Arabidopsis thaliana: one gene and its partners. The protein of the gene in region 3 interacts with the protein of the main gene of each other region in a pairwise test. Each region holds a gene or a part of one and is shown on either strand. Other genes may lie near its edges.

Evidence for each region. The genes of interacting proteins can lie anywhere in the genome.
Region 1: the proteins of AT4G14720 (region 3) and NF-YC9 interact in binary tests that used the Arabidopsis thaliana proteins (3 or more experiments, as listed by UniProt).
Region 2: the proteins of AT4G14720 (region 3) and NINJA interact in binary tests that used the Arabidopsis thaliana proteins (3 or more experiments, as listed by UniProt).

The regions. Positions count from the first base shown.
Region 1 is NC_003070.9:2,880,580-2,886,662, reverse strand, and holds NF-YC9 (nuclear factor Y, subunit C9), read right to left. Parts: upstream 4,173-6,083; 5' UTR 3,977-4,172; exon of another isoform or gene 3,523-3,976; 5' UTR 3,520-3,522; coding exon 2,824-3,519; 3' UTR 2,815-2,823; exon of another isoform or gene 2,633-2,814; 3' UTR 2,321-2,632; downstream 1-2,320. Other genes in the region: AMI1 (amidase 1), read right to left, coding at 233-349, 430-564, 655-823, 893-1,049, 1,130-1,312, 1,388-1,513, 1,605-1,729, 1,862-2,014 and 1 more; CAX11 (cation exchanger 11), read right to left, coding at 4,786-5,550. UniProt on the Arabidopsis thaliana protein: Stimulates the transcription of various genes by recognizing and binding to a CCAAT motif in promoters. Interacts with REF6 to directly regulate SOC1 transcription in response to flowering signals from photoperiod and gibberellic acid pathways.
Region 2 is NC_003075.7:14,261,714-14,268,695, forward strand, and holds NINJA (Putative interactor of JAZ), read right to left. Parts: upstream 5,074-6,982; 5' UTR 4,823-5,073; intron 4,432-4,822; exon of another isoform or gene 4,393-4,431; 5' UTR 4,310-4,392; intron 4,045-4,309; 5' UTR 3,968-4,044; coding exon 3,076-3,967; intron 3,003-3,075; coding exon 2,617-3,002; 3' UTR 2,321-2,616; downstream 1-2,320. Other genes in the region: AT4G28920 (hypothetical protein (DUF626)), read right to left, coding at 6,702-6,929. UniProt on the Arabidopsis thaliana protein: Acts as a transcriptional repressor. Negative regulator of jasmonate responses. Connects the JAZ proteins and the non-JAZ protein TIFY8 with the TOPLESS corepressors.
Region 3 is NC_003075.7:8,429,465-8,438,288, forward strand, and holds AT4G14720 (TIFY domain/Divergent CCT motif family protein), read right to left. Parts: upstream 5,642-8,824; 5' UTR 5,471-5,641; coding exon 5,353-5,470; intron 5,171-5,352; coding exon 5,031-5,170; intron 4,896-5,030; coding exon 4,717-4,895; intron 4,232-4,716; coding exon 4,141-4,231; intron 4,053-4,140; coding exon 3,956-4,052; intron 3,647-3,955; coding exon 3,587-3,646; intron 3,391-3,586; coding exon 3,327-3,390; intron 3,254-3,326; coding exon 3,019-3,253; 3' UTR 2,996-3,018; coding exon of another isoform or gene 2,988-2,995; 3' UTR 2,509-2,987; downstream 1-2,508. Other genes in the region: PPD1 (TIFY domain/Divergent CCT motif family protein), read right to left, coding at 1-61; ARD1 (acireductone dioxygenase 1), read right to left, coding at 1,020-1,062, 1,176-1,246, 1,326-1,450, 1,534-1,648, 1,782-1,876, 1,957-2,068, 2,386-2,403. UniProt on the Arabidopsis thaliana protein: Regulates the arrest of dispersed meristematic cells during lamina development.

The DNA of each region.
Region 1 (6,083 bases), on a different chromosome or scaffold from region 3:
TAATATTTTGAACTTTAAAAATCACTATTAAGAACAAGAAATCTAGTTAATATTAAGTTGTCATTAATACTTCGCTAAAAGACAAATAGTACAATTGTCCAACATATACAACAATTTATTTAATACATTGTTGGGTTTGGGACAAGAAAACCATTCAGATATGCTACGATGACATAATAAACAGAAAGCAAAATAGATATGCTCAAAGTGCATTAAGTTTATGACATGTCAATCAAATAAATGCAGCAAGGGAATCCACAAGACTCAGAAGAAAACCGTCTGAGCCATACTTAGCTACCAATGATACCGAAACCGGAAGATTTTCGTGTAGCCCCAATGGTATGCTCACCTATCATGGGAAAAAAACACCGGAAGATCAGACCAGTTCTTAACAGACTCCACAAGAAGGAAGATTGATGTTGTTATTACCTGACAGAATCCAGAAACGCCTGCGATCGACAACAAGCTGAAGGCTCTGCTGCGGAAAGATTCAAGTGCAGCCACATTAGCTTGGAGATGCGGTGGAGGACCTGGTACCGTTGGAATCACCAACACACCCTTCTCCTACAAAATTTGGTATGATTTACATAAAACCGGTCTACTGGTAAGTGTTTCAAACTGAAATTTGGAGAAAAAGGAATAAGTTAGTTGTACCCCGAGCAAAGTTGAAAGAGCCGTTATCAGTTCAGATTTCACGGACCGGCAATGGTCGATCTTCTCGTCGGATGTTCTGATAGCTTCCTCAATTCGTTCTGATATTCCAGGACCAAACTCTGGCTTCACCGACGAGATCCATGCACCGTGGTTTATCTTGAATTCATGTCTAAACTTTGGTTATGCCTATGTAATATATTAGAAATCGATAGAATGTAAAATGAGAAAAATGTTGTACCTTTGTAACAATCTCATTGAACTCGATAGGGCCATGAGAGACGGAATGCAGAACTCTTGTTGTGTAGTGACATCGTCACTTGTCATGAAATGTTTAAGGCTTGGAACATTCTGTCCAATGTACTCTCCAAGATTCACCTTCTTTACTACAGTGTTGCCTTGATACAGAACAAAATCATTAAGTAACAAAATCATCAAGGAATAATCTCTGACAACAAGTTCTTGTGATGCTTTTTACCTCCAAACGATTTTTCCACGGATCCAACCAGAGGCTGCACCAAGAGATCATGCGGTACACTACACAGCTTGAAGCAGTCATCCGCGATAATCAGTTGAGATGGTTCGATGGGGTTCAAGTGATGCTGCTGCAGGAGAACGCAACCTACACGTTTCAAAGTGGCTGTGTCCCGAGCAAACCATCCTAAAGACAATGTTGGATCCATCAATATCAAGATTCAGTTTAACCATTAACATCTCGGATTTTAGTTTTCGTTACCAACTGTGTCGAAGCTCTGAGCCATTGGAGTAAGTCCGACAGTGGAAACTGCACCGTGGGATGGCCGGAAACCGAAAATCCCACAGTAAGATGCTGGAACTCGTACACTCCCTCCGGTATCAGTTCCTGATTGATCAAAAACCAATTAGACAGGGAAGAAAAATACTTTATGATCAGTAGTATGGTTACAACTTTTGGCAATTTTTCTTCAGCTCACCAATAGAAAAATCCACAAGACGAGCAGCTACAGCTACGGCTGAGCCACTCGATGATCCCCCAGGCACTCTATCGAAAGCAATCGGGTTTCTCGGAGTCCCATAATGCGCATTTTCTCCGTTTATACTGCATATTAAGTAAGAACATGCTCAGAAAAAACGTAACAAACCTAGTCATATTTTAGTTCTAGCCTCTGTTATGACATATCCTGTTTCTTAAAACATGAACTCCTAAACCAGAAAAGATGTGAAATTGAACCTGTAAGCCATTTCATCCATAATGGTAATACCCAAAGCTGTGGCACCAGCTTCTAAGAGAGATGAAACTACTGGAGCTGTAGAAGTAGCTGCCGAGTGTGTCCTTAACCAATCCGGGTTACCAAAACCGGTAACGCGTCCTTCCACATCAAAACTGATCAAACCAAGCAATAAGCTCAAAAATTGATTGACAAGAAAGTATAGAAGAAACTCTGTAAGTAGTTGGATATCTTACATGTCTTTAATGGCGAAAGTAAGACCCTGTAGAGAAGGAGGCGACGAGGAAGTAGAAGTTGGAGAGATTGTAACTTTCTCAATGAAAGCTCCAAAATCATTATTGGTCGCCATTGATGCAGCTCCCTTTCTGAGAAGGTAGATGACGACCAAGTAACGCTTCTTGTAGATAAAAGCTATCACATTATTAACGCGGCTACAGTGGCCAAGTCATTTTCTATTTTGTCTTTTCCTTAATATTATTGTCCTTTTGTTTTAAATATCCAATGAGATACATTTTGTGGATAATAACTTAATATGTGTGATAAAGACACAGAAATTAACATTCAAATAAAAAAACTTTTGTCAAAAGCACACTTGTTTCTTACAGTTTATACATTCTTCTTTCTGGTTCATCCCTAAATTTCTCGTTTAGAAAAGGATCGATAGACATAAACACTTTAGATTCTTCTACAACACCCAATTTGACAATTCTGATATGTTCTTTTCATTTTCTTGTCTAAGGTCTCCCTCCTTTCACCTGGACGAGACTAGAACGCTGCAGGGAGAAAAGCGAATACACTATCACATTTTTACTTCAATAAGATAAGAATACCAAAACTGACATAGTACCAAACTGAGACGATACTGAAATAAGTTATACAAAGGTTACCATTATTCGAAAACAGAAACAAAACCCCAAGACTACAAGGTAGGCCTAAAAGAAGCTGGAAGACTCACAGTTTCTTGCTAATTTTCCTGGTCAGGTTGGTCAGGTGCCTGTTGTTGCCACATTGGTTGACCCATATAAGGATTAGGTGGATACGCACCACCGGGATTACCCATAACCATTCCCGGATTTCCTATTGGAGCAGTTCCTGCAGGCAAGTATCCATACGGGTAACCAGCAGCAGCAGCTTCCGGGACAGTGCCCCTCGGAATACTTCCCAAGACTTCATCTCGGAGATCCTCCCGGGGAACAATATCCACAAGGAAATCAAAAATATCGGTTCTAGTCACAGCAGCAGCAATATCGTTCTTCTGCAACGTCCGCCTCTTATTCTCCTCAGTGTGGTTCCACGACCTGAGTGTCAGCTCCAGGATGAACATCTCACAGGCCCTTGCAAACACGACAGGCGCCTCAGCCGAGATCATACGGACATCTTCATCCGCTTTCATGATTTTCTTGATTCTCGCAAGGGGAAGGCTGTGGTTCTTGAAATCGGTAGTCTTCTCAATCTCTTTGAATTGGTTCTCCCAAAATGCTTGAAGCTGCTGTGCCAGCTGTTGCTGCTGCTGCTGCTGATGGATCTGGTGGAACGCCAGCTGGCCTGGTTGTGCCGCACCTCCTGCTACAGTAGCAGCAGTGGTGCTCATCGGGTTGGTTTGGTATGGGTTTGTGCCATAGTTCATAGCTCCAGACTGTCCATGGTCTTGTTGATCCATTCACTACCAGAATAAAAAAACAGAACTTTGGGATTCATTCTAAGCTCTTAAGAAACATCTGACCAGAATTTTAAAGAAATGTGAAGGAGATAAGGTTGCTAACAAACAATTTACATAAATAAGAATCTGCTGAATTTACTTTATATATGGTCTAATCTGTAATTCTAGATTAACCTTGAAGATCTAAACAGCAATAAGTATGAAAATTGAGCTTCGAATTAAAAGACAATACATCAACCTACTTATTCCAACCCATAAATTTGATAAGGAAAACAGGAAAATATCGAAAGGGATTGCCTTTAATTTCCTTCAAAATAGACAGAACAAAGAATCTGCTAACACAGAACAACTAGAATTGTTCCTACAACACCAAGCATATTATTTTATCATGTGAATTCCACAATATATAAGTAAGAACAAGTCAAATTGAAAAAAAGAATCTGCAAACGAGAGTGACCTGTGGAAAGGAGAATCTGAAGGGGAAGAGACTGGTTGATCCTCTTGGTGGGTAGAGAGAGTTTTAAGATCTGGTTTTTTTGTGTTAATTTGTTGTGATTTTATTAGGGTTTTGCTGCTTTACCCTTTTTTCGACTTTAACAATGAGGAGGAATTTAGAAAGACAAGGGGAAGTAAGTGGAAAGAGCTTTAAAAGCTGGGTGTCGTGTCAACCATTGGGCTTATGTCAAGATTCTTCTGCTCTTGTCAGATCATGATTTGTTTTATCTCTTACATTAATTAATTCATTTTTATTATCTTCTTAGGATTTAATTGGCAACCTTTAATTATCTTCTTTGGAGGTTCAAATTTCACAAGTAGTTTTGTTGTATCACAACATATTTGGCATTCACAGAGAATCAAATCACATAAAAAAGAACCAGAATCAACATTTTGTTCTGCTCTAATACACATTCTAGGATCAATGAAGTATTTCTCATTAATATCAAAAGAATACAAATGTGTGGTTTATACATATATAACAGACCCAAAAAAACAAGACCAGTACAATCAATGGAAAAGTAAACCAGATGGGGGAGTCAAAATCTTCTCCCAAAGCACATATATTTTACCATCACCTATCTACCAAACTTTACTAATCTGGCTCGGACGATCACAAGAACTTTTTGTGGGATTCGAAGATTACTGGTCTGGCGGTGGCCATCAGCTGAGCTCAAAATTTTGGCAATTCCCTTCTAGACAACAAAAATTCCTAAACAATGAACCCTGGTTGACCCTAGATTATTCAATGTGCAGACTTCACGCATATGATCAGGTTGAAACGCTGGCGATGATCAAACTAACAAATGTGAAAGCAACATACAGTCCAACAAGACAGATCCCCCAGAATCTCGGAACTCGGAATCTAGACCAGGTTATTACCAACAGAGATCCCATTAGACTAAGCAACAAGAAGACGAAAGCTATCACAATACCTACATGGAATCCAAGTTTGTAAGCGTCTGGATATACATTAGCTGTTTGCATCACCAAGGCCGATCCAAGTCCAACAAGCATGTTAAACATTGGACCTGCAAAACAACCGGCCATAGCCATTGCTGGTCTACCTGCCTTTGCAACTGCCACGTCAGCAACTAGGTCACCAACCGAGTTTCCCCAAGCAAGAACGGTTAGGCCAAGGAGCGCCGGAGGCAGTTTAAGGAGGGTTCCAAGCGCAGCCAAGCAGTTAAGGAGCTCACCAGCAATTGTTGATATCCAGAAAACACTCATTATGAAAGCTACAACAATGACCGGCAGTTGCTCGGTTTTTGGTGGTTGTTTTTCTACTGTGAAGTGGAGGAACGCTAGGGAAGACGTCATGAAGAGGACAACAAGCCAAAGCGGGAGATGGGTGTTTGGAAAGAGGAATGAAATTGGGTGGTTTAGTTGTACAAAAGAGTTGCAAGTGTATAAAAGGGCAAAAGGGCAGAAAACAATGTTGGCAGAGCGATAAAACCTAGACCATTCCGAAGGAGAAGGTTTTGGGATGGTAAGGTTCAAAAGAACTGATACAGGAGTTTCCCACATCCTCGAGATCTGCAATCACAGCAGCAAAAGCAGAATCAGACAACCTTCACTAAACTTATTTCAAACTTAAATGCAGTCTAACAGAAAAAATATAGTAACCTGGATAAGATCCAAACAGGTAAACTCCTTTAGAGTCGAATTCACCAAAGGAATACATATCATAGAGAGACTTGATTAACGAGTCTTGACCAGTTCCCAATCCTAAACCCTACGAAATTCTCTCAAACTCATTTTGCCCAACTTCTTTCTAACATGTTAGCTCTCTAGCTAACCGATCTAACGATTGCTCCTGAGCTGTCAACACAGCTACAATCCAGTTGAAAACGCCTAAGCAAGTGAAAATGCTCATTCACTAGACTAACACAGAGACTTATCATAACCTTAGAGTACACTAAGAAGAAAACAGGAAGCAAATTAAAACCTTTAAACGCATAATCTAAACTAAACAATATCGGAGTTCACAATTGGTAGCTGAATATGATACTACCATAAAATTCCAGCATTATGATCGATAAACAAAGCTCAAAGATGAGTGAAGAAGA
Region 2 (6,982 bases), 5.8 Mb from region 3:
GGAAATGATGCAGAAGACTCAGAGTTGAGTGAAAATTCAGAAAATTCAGAAAGTTCAGTGTTCAGTGAAGCTACAACAGAAACAGAAGCTGCTGACAACACTAATGATCAAAGTCATCCTATGATAACAAGGTCTAAATCAGGCATTTTCAAGCCAAATCCCAAATATGCTATGTTTACAGTAAAGAGTAACTACCCTGTACCAAAGACAGTCAAAACAGCTCTTAAAGACCCTGGATGGACTGATGCAATGGGTGAAGAGTATGACTCTTTTGAAGAAACACATACTTGGGATTTGGTTCCACCTGACTCGTTCATTACTCCTTTAGGCTGCAGGTGGGTTTTCAAAACGAAGCTAAAGGCTGATGGAACTCTTGATAGATTAAAGGCTCGTCTTGTTGCTAAGGGCTATGAACAAGAAGAAGGAGTTGATTACATGGAGACTTATAGTCCAGTGGTTCGCACAGCCACAGTGAGAACAATCTTACATGTTGCAACCATTAACAAGTGGGAAATCAAGCAACTTGATGTTAAAAATGCCTTTTTACATGGTGATTTGAAAGAGACTGTGTACATGTACCAACCTCCAGGTTTTGAAAATCAAGACAGACCTGATTATGTGTGCAAGCTCAACAAAGCCATTTATGGTCTTAAACAAGCTCCGAGAGCTTGGTTTGACAAGTTCAGTACTTTTCTCTTGGAGTTTGGTTTCATCTGTACCTATTCAGATCCTTCTCTGTTTGTGTTTCTGAAAGGAAGAGATCTCATGTTCCTCTTGCTCTATATGGACGACATGCTTCTCACAGGCAACAATAGTGAACTGTTGGACACACTGCTTGTCTCTCTGAATAAAGAGTCCGCATGAAAGACATGGGAATGCTGCATTACTTTCTCGGAATTCAGGCTCATTTTCACTGAGAAGGGTTGTTCTTGCATCAAGAGAAATATGCTATGGATCTCCTTGTTGCAGCAGGAATGGCAGATTGTGCCCCAATGCCAACCCCTTTGCCTCTTCAATTGGATAAAGTTCCTGGTCAACAAGAAAGCTTTGCTGATCCTACTTATTTTCGGAGCTTGGCTGGTAAGTTACAATATCTTACTCTTACTCGTCCTGACATTCAATTTGCAGTCAATCTTGTGTGTCAAAAGATGCATTCCCCCACAGTTGCTGATTTCAATCTCCTCAAAAGAGTCTTACGCTATCTCAAAGGAAAAGTTCAAATGGGTCTCAACTTACACAACAACACGGATATCACTTTGCGTGCTTATAGTGATAGTGACTGGGCAAACTGCAAAGAGACTAGAAGATCTGTTGGTGGTTTCTGCACTTTTCTTGGCACTAACATAATCAGTTGGTCTGCAAAACGTCATCCAACAGTCTCAAGGTCCTCAACAGAAGCTGAGTATAGGACCCTCTCTATCGCAGCTACAGAAGTGAAGTGGATCTCATCTTTGCTTCGTGAAATAGGCATCTATCAACCTGCACCACCGGAGTTGTACTGTGACAACCTCTCTGCTGTCTACCTCACTGCAAATCCAGCAATGCACAACCGGTCTAAGGCCTTTGATGTTGATTTTCACTATGTTCGAGAACGTGTTGCCTTGGGAGCTTTGGTTGTCAAACATGTCCCTGCTTCTCATCAACTTGCAGACATCTTCACCAAGTCTCTTCCCCAACGTCCATTCTTTGACTTAAGGTACAAACTTGGCGTTGTTTTACCTCCCACACCAAGTTTGAGGGGGTGTGTGAATCAGAGAGAACCTCCTCTACAATCAGAAGCTTTGCTTTCTGCGAATGGACCTGCAACACTCAACAATACTTTGGGCCTCAGTCAAAGTGTCAAGCCCATCAACCTCAAGTCTTCTCTACCTTGCAACGGTAACAAGATTCCTCAATTTCCAGCGCATCAACGTACGGGATTCACAGCTAATCATTTGTCCCTTCATAACAAATTTGATCCTCTTTGTTCCTCTGTCGTGATGTGCAGCTAATGACGTGTGACCTAGTGTCTCACCATTTTGGGGTTCATATATAAACCCTTCTCTGTCATTGTAAACCTTAAGCTGAAATATTCAATAAAGAGATTTCTCTTCATCATCGTTTTATCAATACTTTCACTATTTTAGTCTTTCAATTACTTCTTTGTTATAGAATTTAACCACAACATTATCAATTTATTAACTATTAAGTAAGAGTTTGACATTATTCTTGCAGGTTTTCTGTACAACCAACCGTATCAATGGTATCAGGTTTTGACATGACATTACATAATTGAAGGTTTTGCTGTCGTTACATAGTAGTCAAAATCAAAGTGAATTATTTTACCAAAATAGTTGTTTAGATTTTAACCAAAGGAACAAAGGACACCGATAATGTTATGGTTATATATAATTTCCTTTCAACCAAAAAACAAAAAGGAAAGAAGAGGATTACATAAGGAATTGTGATGAAGTAGAGAGATTACAACAACATAACAGAAAGCTCAGTTAAAAAACTTTGGCTTGAGAGTTTGATCCGACTAAACATAATAAAATGTATGTTCCAAAAAGAAACTCATTACAAACCCTTCCATTTGTTTACAAGATTTCAGACATCTTTTTTTCCGGTGGTGACTTTTCAGGTGTGAGCTGACGCTGCAGTCATTCCCATGGATGATTCTGGGCTAACGTACTCCTCGCTTGCGTGCCGTACAAACTCCTCCGGTGACATGTGCGAGCCGTGGCAAGCGCATACGATTTTGATCTGGTTTGCGTTGTACCGGTATGTGACACCTGAGATTGTCCGTCCGTGTGGGCCTGAACCAGTGGTTGAGACCCACGGTAAGTTGGGACGTGCCCCGGATCCTCCAAACTTCACATCTGCTGCCATTCCAGGTTTTATGGCAGAAAAGTCGAAAGAGAAAGCGGTATTGAGGTTGCTGTTGTCTCCCGTTGGTCGTTCTGATGCATCCTCGGATGAACCTTCTTCTGCAACAGGTTGTTTGCCTTCGCCTTTTGCAGTAGCTTTTTGGAAGGAAAAGTTACTATTTTTGCTGTAAGAGTACTAAATCGTGTTTTAAGGGAAGGTTTTGCTTACCTGAGTTTGATGGAACTCTTCCAGCAAATGGAGATTGAGAAAGTGCGACAATCCCTCCTGAACCGTCCTTATCTAGCATAGGGAGCTGGACTGGTGAGTATCCGAACATAATCGGGAGATTTCCAGCATTAGCATTAGGCTGCAATAGACTTGTAGCTGCTGCGTGTTGTCCAGACTCTTTTGTCGGTAAAGAGTAAGGCATACTAGTGACGACATTTTGCGGATGAACTGTGAAAGGTACGGTGTAACTCATGTTGCGCATTGTAAACTCTTCAGTGCCAGATCCACCATGGTTGCTCCTCCTTTGACCAGTTAAGTTGTCCACAATGTTTGTATCAGTAGGAGGACGAACCACCTCCTTTGCGTGGTTGGAAGAAGAACCACCACCTACTTCAGACTCTGCTACATCTTCGTTTTCAGCTGTTGATCCTTCATCTGTCGCAGTTGAAACATGGGATGCTTTTGTCTTCTTCTCATGCATATCAACATGAGACGAGTCCTTCTCTTTTTTCTTATCATCATTCATCCCCGGGAACCCGAACTTTCTTTTGTTCCCTGCTTCTTTCCGTGACTCATCCTCCACCCACAAAGGTTTCGTAGAAGCTTCAGCCTCAGTTGTAGGAGCTTTTGAGAGGTCATTGAAGAAATTTTGTGGAGGCTGTTGACCCGAATCACTTCTCTGAGAACCAGAACTCGGCTCTGCAGGTCTTTGAGAAGTTGGATGCAGGAAGTTCTTAAAGTCATCAATCACTTTAGCACTTCTATCGCCTCCTTCTGCCCTGTAGTTCTCTGAGGAGCTTCCAGCATTATTATTATTGTTACCCTTAGCTTTTCCTGTTGATCCTCCACAAGAAAGACCCAAGCTGAGCTCGAGCCCATTATCATCGTCCATTTTTTCTCAAACTTTTTAAGCAAACTCTGAGCAGGTCAACAGATCTTCAGAGCACCGTCAACAATCTTGATTACCATCTGAGAAAAATACATCATGGGCAGAAAAGGACTCATTATCCAAAGCTAACCAATGGTTTCTAGAAAAAAGAATCAAACGCAAAGCTAAGAACTTTGAGAATCATAGATGGCTGCGGAAGTAAACTTCTTCTAAATTTATAAAAAGAAACACATCTGCTTGAACTTGCAACAAACATCACATGCTTTGCCAAAATCAATCCTAGTATTCAGTATAACAAATTAACAAGCTACCAGAACTCTCAGAAACATTGGACTCGGATAGTACCTTAGAAACAAAACCATTGAAAGAAACAATTCAGCAATTCTCCAGAAACTTTCTTCTCGCTCCTACCAAGTACCTTTTGAGTTCTGTGATAACAAAAAAAGACCATTTCTACAACTTAGGTTCTGAAAACCCCCAATATTCATCATTTCCATTTTGAGAAACTAAACTAAAATGGAAACAAAGCAAAGACACACATCACTCACACTTGTATGTCAGCTAACAAAAAAAAAAAAGGAATCAAAATCCAGAAATCAGAGTGAGAGATAGCACAAAGATCTAGTAACTGATAAGACACTATGCAGATCTGTCAGCTAAACGAGCTACATACGAAGAAACAAATCAATTGACTTTCTAAAGATCGAAATCATCAAAAGAATCATAACCTAGACGCGATCAGATTAAAACCCTGACCCCTAACTACACAGCAATAATGCCAAATCAGCTCAAATTAAATCACAATAAGCCGAATAAAGCTAAAACAGAAGCCGAAATCAGAATCGAGAAGATGAAAACCTGATGAAACCGAGGAAGAAGACGAACAAACCCTAGAGCTTCTTCGCAGCGTGGCGGCTCCTAGACAGTTGCATCAGCGATTGGGGCTTCTTCGGGTTCGGACAACTAGTACGGACCATTTCCCTTTTCCCTTCGTAATACTAATAATTATTATTTTATTGTACAATTAGTTTCGATTTCGTCCATGTGTATCTTGTGCATTTTCTTAACTTTTGAATAAATAACAATCGTATAGTCAGCATATATACTACATGTTTGCAATCATGAATATATTTGTACATTGTACATGTCCAATGCATGAATAGAAATACATGGGCCCAATTTTCTTTTTAAAGCCAAACTAGTCCATAACTATTCACATCTACCAACAGATTTTTCATTTCTTTAACAAGTTTTAGAGGAAACACATATGACATATCTTATGCGTTTTTATAAAGATATACTAAAAAGTTGGTCACATAGTATATAATCTATATTTTCTAGTCACCACTTTCTTTAGAATAGTTGGATAAGAGAGACAACATTACAAGATATGCTAAAACGATTTAATTACTCCATATGTGTGTAAATCGTCACTTAATTTAATACTTCAAAATTTCCTTCGAAAAAGACATAGCTAAAGATATGTGGGGATAATATATATATATATATATATAATAGTATCAAAAGCTGTTTGCCAAAAAAAAAAATTCAAAACGATAGGTTTATATATATATATATTTTAGATTGATTCATGATCAATAAAGTCGCTTTGGCCGAGTGGTTAAGGCGTGTGCCTGCTAAGTACATGGGGTTTCCCCGCGAGAGTTCGAATCTCTCAGGCGACGTTATCATTTTATTTTTGATATTTCCAGCTTTTTTTTCTTTGTCAGGCTTTTCCAGTTTTTTTTCCTCCTAAATTGACATGGTTTTATTTTTTTTGTACAAAAAATTGACATGTTTTTTTTTTAATACAAAAATTGACATGTTAAGACTTAAGACTAAAGAGGAAATTGGAAATTGGAAATTTGAATATTATAAAATAAAATTATCTTATGTTGTAAAATTTTAATGGCATGAAAATATGTTACTTATGTAAAAATAAAATAATGAAAACAAACATGGTTAATAATATTGAAAAGCTACAACATGAATAAATATATACTTTGATTGACTCATAAGCAATAAAGTTACATGGTTTTTTTTTTATTATTTCTGATGCTATTATTCATAGTTTTATAAGTTTGAAAAATAAATTAAAAAGGATCATTAACAATTCAAAGGATAAATAGACTTGTTTCTCTCTTTTTAATCGTCATATTAAATACCATAAGATGTCGAATTTTTCAACCTAATGTCTACGTTGATGATGTTGTGGCTATCCACCGTGAGACGGTGAAGAAGACCCCTCACCGTCTCCCACATACAAAATCGCCGCCGCCTATCACATTGTTTCAAAGAAACTCCTCCTCACCGACTTGCTCTCAATAGAAGTGAACTCCCATCTCCCAACCCTAGTCCCAGGAGCCTCCATCATCGTTACCAACAATTCACGATAATACAACTCTAAATATTATTCTCTCAGCTTCAACTTCTCATGAAAATCATATATGTTTTGTTACTCTTCAAAAATCCAAGGAATAAAATGATAGAAAAAAATATATTCTTAGAGCTCTTGGTGATTTCATACTTGTCTTGATTGATATCACAATATTCAGAACAAGTAATCACAAGTAGAAGACAAGCTTTAAAAAGAGGAAGAAGAAGAGACTTGTAGTTATTGCATTGAGAACAAGTAATCACAGATTCACAGTATAGTCGTCATCAAAGGACTTGAAGTCAACCCTACGGTAACTTTTTATTGAGCAGCAGAGGATGAGCATTCCGGTTCAGGTTTACTCTAGGGCGGTTCATCCTCCCCAATTAAATCGCTTGGTATGGCTTGCCAAGAGTCAACTTCTAGACGAATGTGTCCCGGTTTTCCATCCATGGCTTTCCGTACTATTGTTTGGTACTCGACATGCTTACCACTCGGATGATGATCACCACTGCCCTTGAAACCCATGTAGAAGATAGCGTTGTTGGCCTTGAGCTTCAAGTGCGGCGACTCTTCACAGCTCTTCCGAGTCTGTACAATTACATACTTGATCTTTAATGGTAGAAAACTCCTCACCAGCGAGC
Region 3 (8,824 bases):
CAGTGAGTAGCTTCAGAGGTTTCGCAAGTATAGACTTCGCCGGTGAAACTCCGACATCCATCTCCTCCTCTTCACCGGAATCCCGGCGAGAGAGCAGTGGCGTTTCAGTAATAATCGGAGGTTTTGGGGGTAAAATTAGGAAGAATGAGAGAGAGCGGAACAGTGGCGAGAGAGAGTGAGGTCGAATAGTTTTTCCTATGGGGGAGTCAATTTGGGGGAATTGTTCCCGGAGCAGGGAAACTCCCTAGACTGCCACGTAAGCTCCACGTCTACATAAATTATTATAAGCCTAATCATGGCTGCTAAACTTGCTAAGTTTACTTTTATATCCCCTTTTTCTTCCATTCAACTACTGTTTATTGTAATCCATTAAGATAGGAGAATAAAATGATTACTCCAATTCTATAGACTATAGAGTTAATGTAGGTCGGATTTAAGGAGATTCCAAACTCTAAAAGGAAATTACAAAAGAAAGCCACAAATGTAAACGAAAACGAAAATCTTATGTCCAACCACAAATACACAAAACCACACTTTTCTTCCTTAGAACCGTGAACATGTTCGATAACAACAACCACCAAACGAACCATCCTTAAAACCGTCAGCATGTTAAGATACACAACAACAACCAAACGAACCATGGTTTAGATTAAACCAAAGAAGTTGACGCGGTTGGACGTATTACTTCTTATTAGTTTCTTCTAATTTGTTGGTTTTTGAAAAGCAAATAAAAAAGAATAGAGATTTGTGTAAAAACTCAACATATTGCACATAGGAACGAACGTAAGACAATATGAATCCCAATGTAATCTTTTCGTATATGGGATACGACAAAGATGGTAAAGAGAGACATATCAGAGAGTGTAACTAAGTTTACAACAACTCAAGCATACCAAAAGCCATCATTCTACACAGGAATACATATAAATATCCAATACTTGACAGGAAAGCTTTCTTTATTGTAGGCCTTGTTTATAGATCCTTGTTTCAGAAAGCCAGATATAGAGAGAGGAAGCTCTCTAAGCCGAGGCATTGATCATGAAGTTATCGACATATTCTTTCCTGTAAAATATCAGAATTTATTTCTCGTAAAATAACAGAATTTCTTGCTTGATTATATATCCCATTGTTTGCATAAGAGAACAAACAAAAGGGGAAAACCCAGGACATTGTACCTTGCAGGAAGATGGTCGTGTGGGCGATTGTATGGTGTCCATACCGGTTCACCCACGAATAGCCGCATTGCCTGTTCAACAAGATATTTCAATTTTCTAAGCAAGCCCAAACTATAAAATAAATGGCTAGAAGAAAAGCTGACATTGCACCTTGATATAGTTGTCAGAGTCCACAGTGAAGCGATGATAGATCCCAGCAGGTAAGACTATCATACCTCCCTTCTTTACCAATACCCTAATCCAAGCTTCATTACGATCTCTCACATCAAAGTAACCTTTTTCCCAAGAAAATAAAACATGACTACTATATCGAAATTTTAAGTTTACGAGTAAAGCCGCCAGTAAAAGAAGTTCTTACCAGTTCCTGCAACGCAGTAACGGATCTCCTCATCAGTGTGTAAATGTTCTTCGAAAAAGCTCTTCACTTTCACTTCATAGTTTGGAAGCTTTTCCGGGCATACCTCACAAAAGTCCTGCATTTTGAACACTTTTTAATCATCAAACCAAGATTGAGAAAACCCCTAGAGAGTTAAAATAAGACTTGGACAAAAATAAACATCTACCATTCAAGTCTAGTGGGATAGTAAATAAATAAAGACCACAAACCATGTAAGAGTAACCACGAGATTCACGGATCTTTTTCAAATCCTCATCGGTTTCATAGTTATCAGCATCAAGTCTCCAGCTAAGTACTCCCAGCTCTGCACACAAACATTACATGTGAAACAAAATAGAGAAGCAGAGAGAACAACATTGAATTGAAACACACAAAGAGGGGGACCTGCAAGTTTGTCCAACGATACAAACTCTTTAGGATCCTTGTGGTGAGGAAGTCTCTGATCCTCTTCACTATCATCCATATACCAAGCTTGAATCACTTCTTCTCTCCCATCCTAAGCAAAAGCACATCAAGATGGGATTAGATTCCTTGGGAGGCAATGTTCAGATATTTTATATTTAATCTGATTTTAGCTTCAAAACTTCAGACAATTCGAGAAATCGTCAATTGCATAACTAAATTGAATACGAATAGGCATTAAACTGACTGCGAGATTTGAGCAAAAGAAGTAGTTATGATGATTCGAAAATCGTCGAAAATGAATCAAATCACTCAGATAACAATCGACGATTCATGCTTGCATCGCAAAACTAGGAATTATCGATTGGCATTAACAGATCAGAAGCAGAGGAGACAAAGATAAAAACATACCTTGACCGCTTCACCCATCGTGTTCCTCGTGATGTCTTAGTCCTTCTTCGTCTTCAAAACCACCCGATTACTCGATTCTTCTTTTTAAAACAGGGAAAAGATCAAATAAATAAAAATCTTTGGTTAAAAAGACTAAACTACCCTTATTTCTCAACTTTATAGAAGAATGTTGCAAATCTCAGACATATCACATACATCATGCCATGAAAATAGACAAATTAATTATCTCATACATATCAATCACAAAGAAGTTGTGTTACTTGGACCTCAAAGATTGGTATCATCAATAAGGTCTCTCTCATTATAAGACAAGCATTTACATAATACAAACCGCCACATCCTCTCTCTCTCTCTCGCGTCTCTCTAACCTACTCAAAACTACAGACCAAAAAAGATGGACGCAACCCGTAAAAAAAACAAAACCATACAAGACCCGCACTGATCCAGCTCAAATCTTTAACCCATGTTTCTTCCACAATGAACGAGAACATTCATTGTTTGCTTTCTTTCTTTTTGTACATGGCTAACATGTTATAAGAACATGAAATTGTTCTTCCCGCCTTTTGACCCGTAGTACCATCTCCAGTTCTTTTGGCACCTTGTTAATTATCTATAAAAAAGCGAATGAGAGTTTTAAGGGAGATCATTGGAACCATTTGACAAATGCTTGTTCATACCTTCGCTGTTTAGATCACTGTTTAGATCAACTGAGATATTGGGACTTTTTGTTTGATTTTCAGGTGACTCGCAATGCCCTGTGCCACTAAGGTTTTGTGAATATGCAGCGTTCATCCGTGGCTGACGATTCAGAAACATCTCCAAGCTAGAGGACGCAACTCCTGGAGCCTTCTTGGTCTTAGAAAATCTTCTGCTCAGAAAGAAAGGTATCAGTATTCATCGATTTGGAATAAGCAAGCACACAGCATAATAGCAACAACTACCTGTCTTTCCGCTTTTCAAGATATCTTTGCAACGATACTTTTCTGTTCGCCTGACCCTCAACATCTTCAGAAAAGACCAACAAAAAGAACAATAGTTAAATTAACAGAATTTCATGGTCGTATATCATGCAGAACAAGCAAGTAGTTTAGCGTAGCATGTAGAGGTGAAGAGGTGGACCAAATTTCGCTCTCAGGTGTTTTAAAGCATCATTGAATAATAGGATTTCATATCTTTAAGGTAAAATGAGTACTGTTTGTACCAGAATCACGAGAAGCAGGTGCCTTTTCAAGTCCATATTGGGGAAGCTCCACCATCTTCTCTGAAAAAATCAAATCACAATTTCAAAAAAAGGGGCACGAGGCATCTGTAGACACATAAGCTAGTAGAGGTAGCAGCAATTACAGCATTTAGACATGCTTCTTTGGTAATTTAACAATGCCTCCTTTCAAAATTGGACAAAATGAAAGGCCGTGTTTGACATAAGAAAGAAAGAAAGACTCATCTTGAGATGCAGCAGCTCTAGTCATTTTTTCAAGTTAGATTATACATTAAAAAAAAAACTCATTTCAAGTCTGAATCATCAATCTTTCAACTGAAAAGCAGATCAGACACTTTAGCAAATGCTTACCTTTACTCATGGGTTTCGAAATCATTCTACTAGAAGCAAAAATACCATTTTCAGGCAAATCAATTGGATTGGCTGCAAAATGCATGATAGACCGGGCCTGCAAATCAATACACAAGATGAATGATCAAAACCATACCATCAAAATTTATATTTTCAGGCTGGACAGAATTATGTGATTCATTTACCTTTTCAGGTGGTACTCCATCATATACATTCACTTTGCCACTATAAAATATCGTCATTTGCCCAACCACCGCATTTGTTTCAGCTGGGCTTCTGATGCAACATTACAAAAAAGCGTGTTTAAACAACTTAATTAAATAACATTGGAGTAGTAATTTGTTTATAAAACAACATGCACCTAATATCAATAAGACTTTGTACATGAACTACCCCTAAAACTCTTGTTAGTAATTGCAGAATTCACAAATCATATAGACTAATGGACTAAGTAACTGATTTATCGTTCACTAGCAATAATCACATCACATCATACCAATCCTCAAAACAGAAGAGTAAAGAGTAACACAGAACCAAGAAGATCTATCTGACTCTTTTAACCTAAATTCTGTGTGACCAATCCACCATCAAAACCATGATTCATATAGAAACTTTTCAATGTCTAAGACACTGATATCAAACCAAGTACTTATTCTAAGATCACAAACAGAATGTCACAATGCATCAGTTCTCTTCTTGAGGCATGAAAGCAGAAGAAAGATACCACACAAAGTCAAAACGCTATAGAAGAAAATGTAAACCTGGGGGAAACAGAAACAGTCTTGTGGCTATCTTTATCCGCAACAAACTGACCAGAACTACCAGAAAACTCAGCTGATCTTGGAGAATCCCTTCTATGGCACGCACCATCATCTTCCTGTAAAGGAATCCTTCCACAAGCTTCGAGCTCGTTCCTTGGCTCAATCAACGTTGTTGTAACCTGTGAACAAAACAGCAGTACACACAGAACAACAATTTTCCCTAAATCAGCACCAACCAAGTAAACGATTCTCTACTACTTCAGAACTTAGATTTTTCTCTGTAAATCGAAACAAAATCGAAGAACAACACTCACGCGAGGCGGATTTGGCGGCTGAGAAACAAGGATCTTGCGGAGGATTCCGGCGCCGGAATCATCTCCAGGTTCATAGAGAGCTTTAAGAGATAAAACTTGCTGGATCGCCTGAGATTTATTCCACGAAGGCCTGCGCATTCCTGTTTCGACACGTGTCAGCCGCCATTCTCCAGAGAGCGAAAAAAAAAGCTCGGAGAGAAGAAGAATAGAGAATTTCAAAAAATTGACTATGTACGATTCTTCTCAGCAAAATCCGTGAGGAAGATCCTACCGTCGAAGACAATAAGACCGGAAAAAAATGGAGAAAGGAAGAAGAAGAAACCTTTCTCTTTGAGGAATTTGCGGCAATCTTCGCGAGTAAGCTGAGAAATGTCTTCTTCAGTGAGAAGCTTCAGAGGCTTCTCAAGTATAGACTTCGCCGTAGTAACTCCTACATCCATATCCCTTGTCAGATTCCGGCCAAAACGGCCTCACCGGAGTCCCGACGAGAGAGCAGTGGCGTTTTCGTAATAATTGGAGGGTTTTGAGGGCAAAATTAGAAGAGCGAGAGAGAGAGAGAGAGAGAAAGAAAGAGAAAGAGTGAAGTCGCTAATAGTCTATGGGCTTCAATTTTAGGGGAATGGTTTTTGGAGCAGCGAAGCTCCCTAGACTGCCACGTAAGCATCCTATTAGTCTCTCTAGATTATAGCCTAATCATGCATTGCTTAAGTATCCCAATTATTTTTTATTTTTTGGGTAAATCTTATGCTGATTATTTTTTTCGCGTCAAACAGTGAAATAAAATAGTAAATGGTAACAGTTTTATATTAAATTTAAATATAATAATAGCATGAGTGATAAAGAAAAATGACACGAAAGAAAACAGAGATTATTTTGTAATCAGAGAGTATCTTGTTTGTTTATTACTGAGTGGATGTCAATTTATCTAAAATCGCATACGATCAATTTGCATGTGATATTTTGATTAAACAACTAATTATTTCTATAAATGGATAAGAGTTATTCCAAAAATAGAACAAAATATCTTTTGTGTTTTGTTTGTATACTACTTTAGTCTAGATGGACAATCATCAATTCTTGGTTAGTGTTTTTTTCCTGGTTTTACAATTCTTGGTTAGTATCTCTAAAAAATGGAAGATCATGTCACTTATACGATTATTACTTGTTAGTTAGCAGAACCTCCAGCATTGCAACACTTCAACATGTCACGCAATTTTTGCAAAAAGATAATCATTCCAAACATTTTTGCAAACAGACAATTTTCAGTTTAAAACAACCAATCAAACCCTAAATGTAATCATGTTAAATGAGTTTTTTTTTTCTTAAAAAAACATCTCATAAACATGTTAACAAAAAATTTGTTAAGCTAATTTACTAGTTGATACTTTTAAAATGGATTTAGCATTTGTTTGGCAACAACATGTGTGCTATGAATTGGATAGCAAATTAGCAATACAACAAAAACACTAGCACAAACCATTTACTTTTTTGTTAAAGGATCTAGCACAAACCATTATACTAAAAAATCTCTTCGATATCCATATTCAGTAGATCATTTAGATGCATGTAAATGAAAATGGCTCAACACATAAAAACGAAGACTAGTCATTTTCTGAAGTGAATACCAAAACAATTGAAAAATACAAGAGATAGAGTAATAAATTGACAAGACGAAGGAGGAGAAATATATTTTCACATGAGTCTGACCAATATCGATTCTCCCTTAAACCTTGCTTGGTCTTGCGTGACATCCCTTCTCATTATCCAATATATAAAGTGATAATTGATAACAATGCATGATACATGTAATTATACTCGTGATGTACGATAAGGATTCATCACTCAATTCATCCAATGTCGTAATTGTCAAGATATACATGCATGAATAAACGAACAGTTGAAAACTTCTTTTTAAAATATAGTTTCGTCATCCATACATACGGTGATGTCCCGAAAAATGATTAGATAAGCAAACCATATTAATGCAACTTTTTCTTTTTAGATTACTATGAAATTTGGAATACTGATCCATAATTTTTTTGAACAAGAGAATGGAACGTGTAAACATTTTATTTTTTTTAACATCGAAAGTCGAACTTTGTGACTTTGAAGTTAATTCACTCTCGTTTGAAGGTTTTTATAACTTACCAACAATTGATATTGAAATATATAATATTAATCAATGGTCTTCAAAAATCAAAACTATCTACCTTATACTGTATATGCATATACCATTTTTTTTTTCTTTATTGTTATTGTTAACCAGAAATTTCTAATTTTTGGCTCATAGTTTTATGTCCATGGACTAGCATTTGATAATATATACTTATTGCGATTCCACAAACGTAAATCATCTCTCTCCATATATAGCACTTAAGACTCGACCTCATATTTGGTAGTACTGTTACAATACCCTCTAGCAAGTTGACAGCAATTTTCAATTTGCCAATAACTTGTAAATCGTAAAAACTTAACATAAAAATTGGGATATAGAATTGACTATTGAGAGTAGTGGAAGATATGAGATAAAGAAGAGGGAAACAAAAAAAAAACAGAGTGGAAATAGGAAGAGTCGTTATCGAAGAAATGGATCCAAGTTGGTACCATACCTTTAATCTAAAGGATGCATCCGCCATTTCTATCGACACCACTCACCAAACCCTACCCAAATTTATTTTTTTCTTAAAGGTTTTTAAATTATATATTGTTGACTTTATTATGATGTGCTTTAAAAAAAAACAATATTGTGATTTTGTAATTGACCATGAATATGAGAGGTTTTGGAATATAACATATAGGTGAACTACTAGCCAATTGTTAGTCGGATTACTGGTTTAATAAGATGATCAGAACAACTAAACTTGTAAACTTCCATCGATTACAACAATCTTGTGAGGCTAACTTGAAGTAGTTCACCATTTTGGTTGGTGAACACTATATATGTCAATTTATGTTCTCTAATATATATTTTCTTGTTTGGTTTTCTCAATATGTGTTGTCGAGTCGAAAGTGATTAATTGATCGAGCTCAAGATCTTGCTATTAAGGCGAAGTAAAGATTGCAATTCATATTGCTGTATCCTAACAAATGTGATGGTCTCTTATCGTTCTAACATCTCTCTTTCAGATTTATATAAAAATATATATATTGTCTACAAAACTCATTCATCCACATCCAAAATTTAAAATTTGGATTATTACACAAAAGTAGATAAACCACTAGACAAATAATATCTAGTCGAATTAATTAAATTACTCGTCTAAATTATTAGCTTTTTAGATATATATATCTAAACTAAGGACTAAAGCTAGTTAGTGTAAATTTGACTTTTTTTTGTTCTTTGAAACTATGTGTAATATCTATTTTTTTGTAAATGCAAAGATAATCGAGTAATGAACATGAAAACTACTATATTATAAGGAAAAAAATGGTATTTAAATAAAAAAATATGAATAGTGATTGAAGAACCGTACAGGTTATGTTTGTGCAGGGAGAGGGGTCGCGAGTGCGTGGGTCGGGTACAGAGGATGAGTCAGTGAGTCAGGACCTGTTTCCCCCTTTGTAGGGACACTTTTACCATCCTTTAATGGGCCTATTCTTTTCATAGGCCCATTTAAATCATATCAGTCAGTCTTTTTCTTGGGCCTCATCTTTGTTTTGTGGTTCTTGCGATTTGAACTATCTGATGGTGACTACAATTGGACGACCGCAGAACAACCCAACCGTATATGCTGTCTTTTGTGGGCAAATCTTTTTTATTGATATGGATTGTCTCAAAATAAGTGATAGAAGTC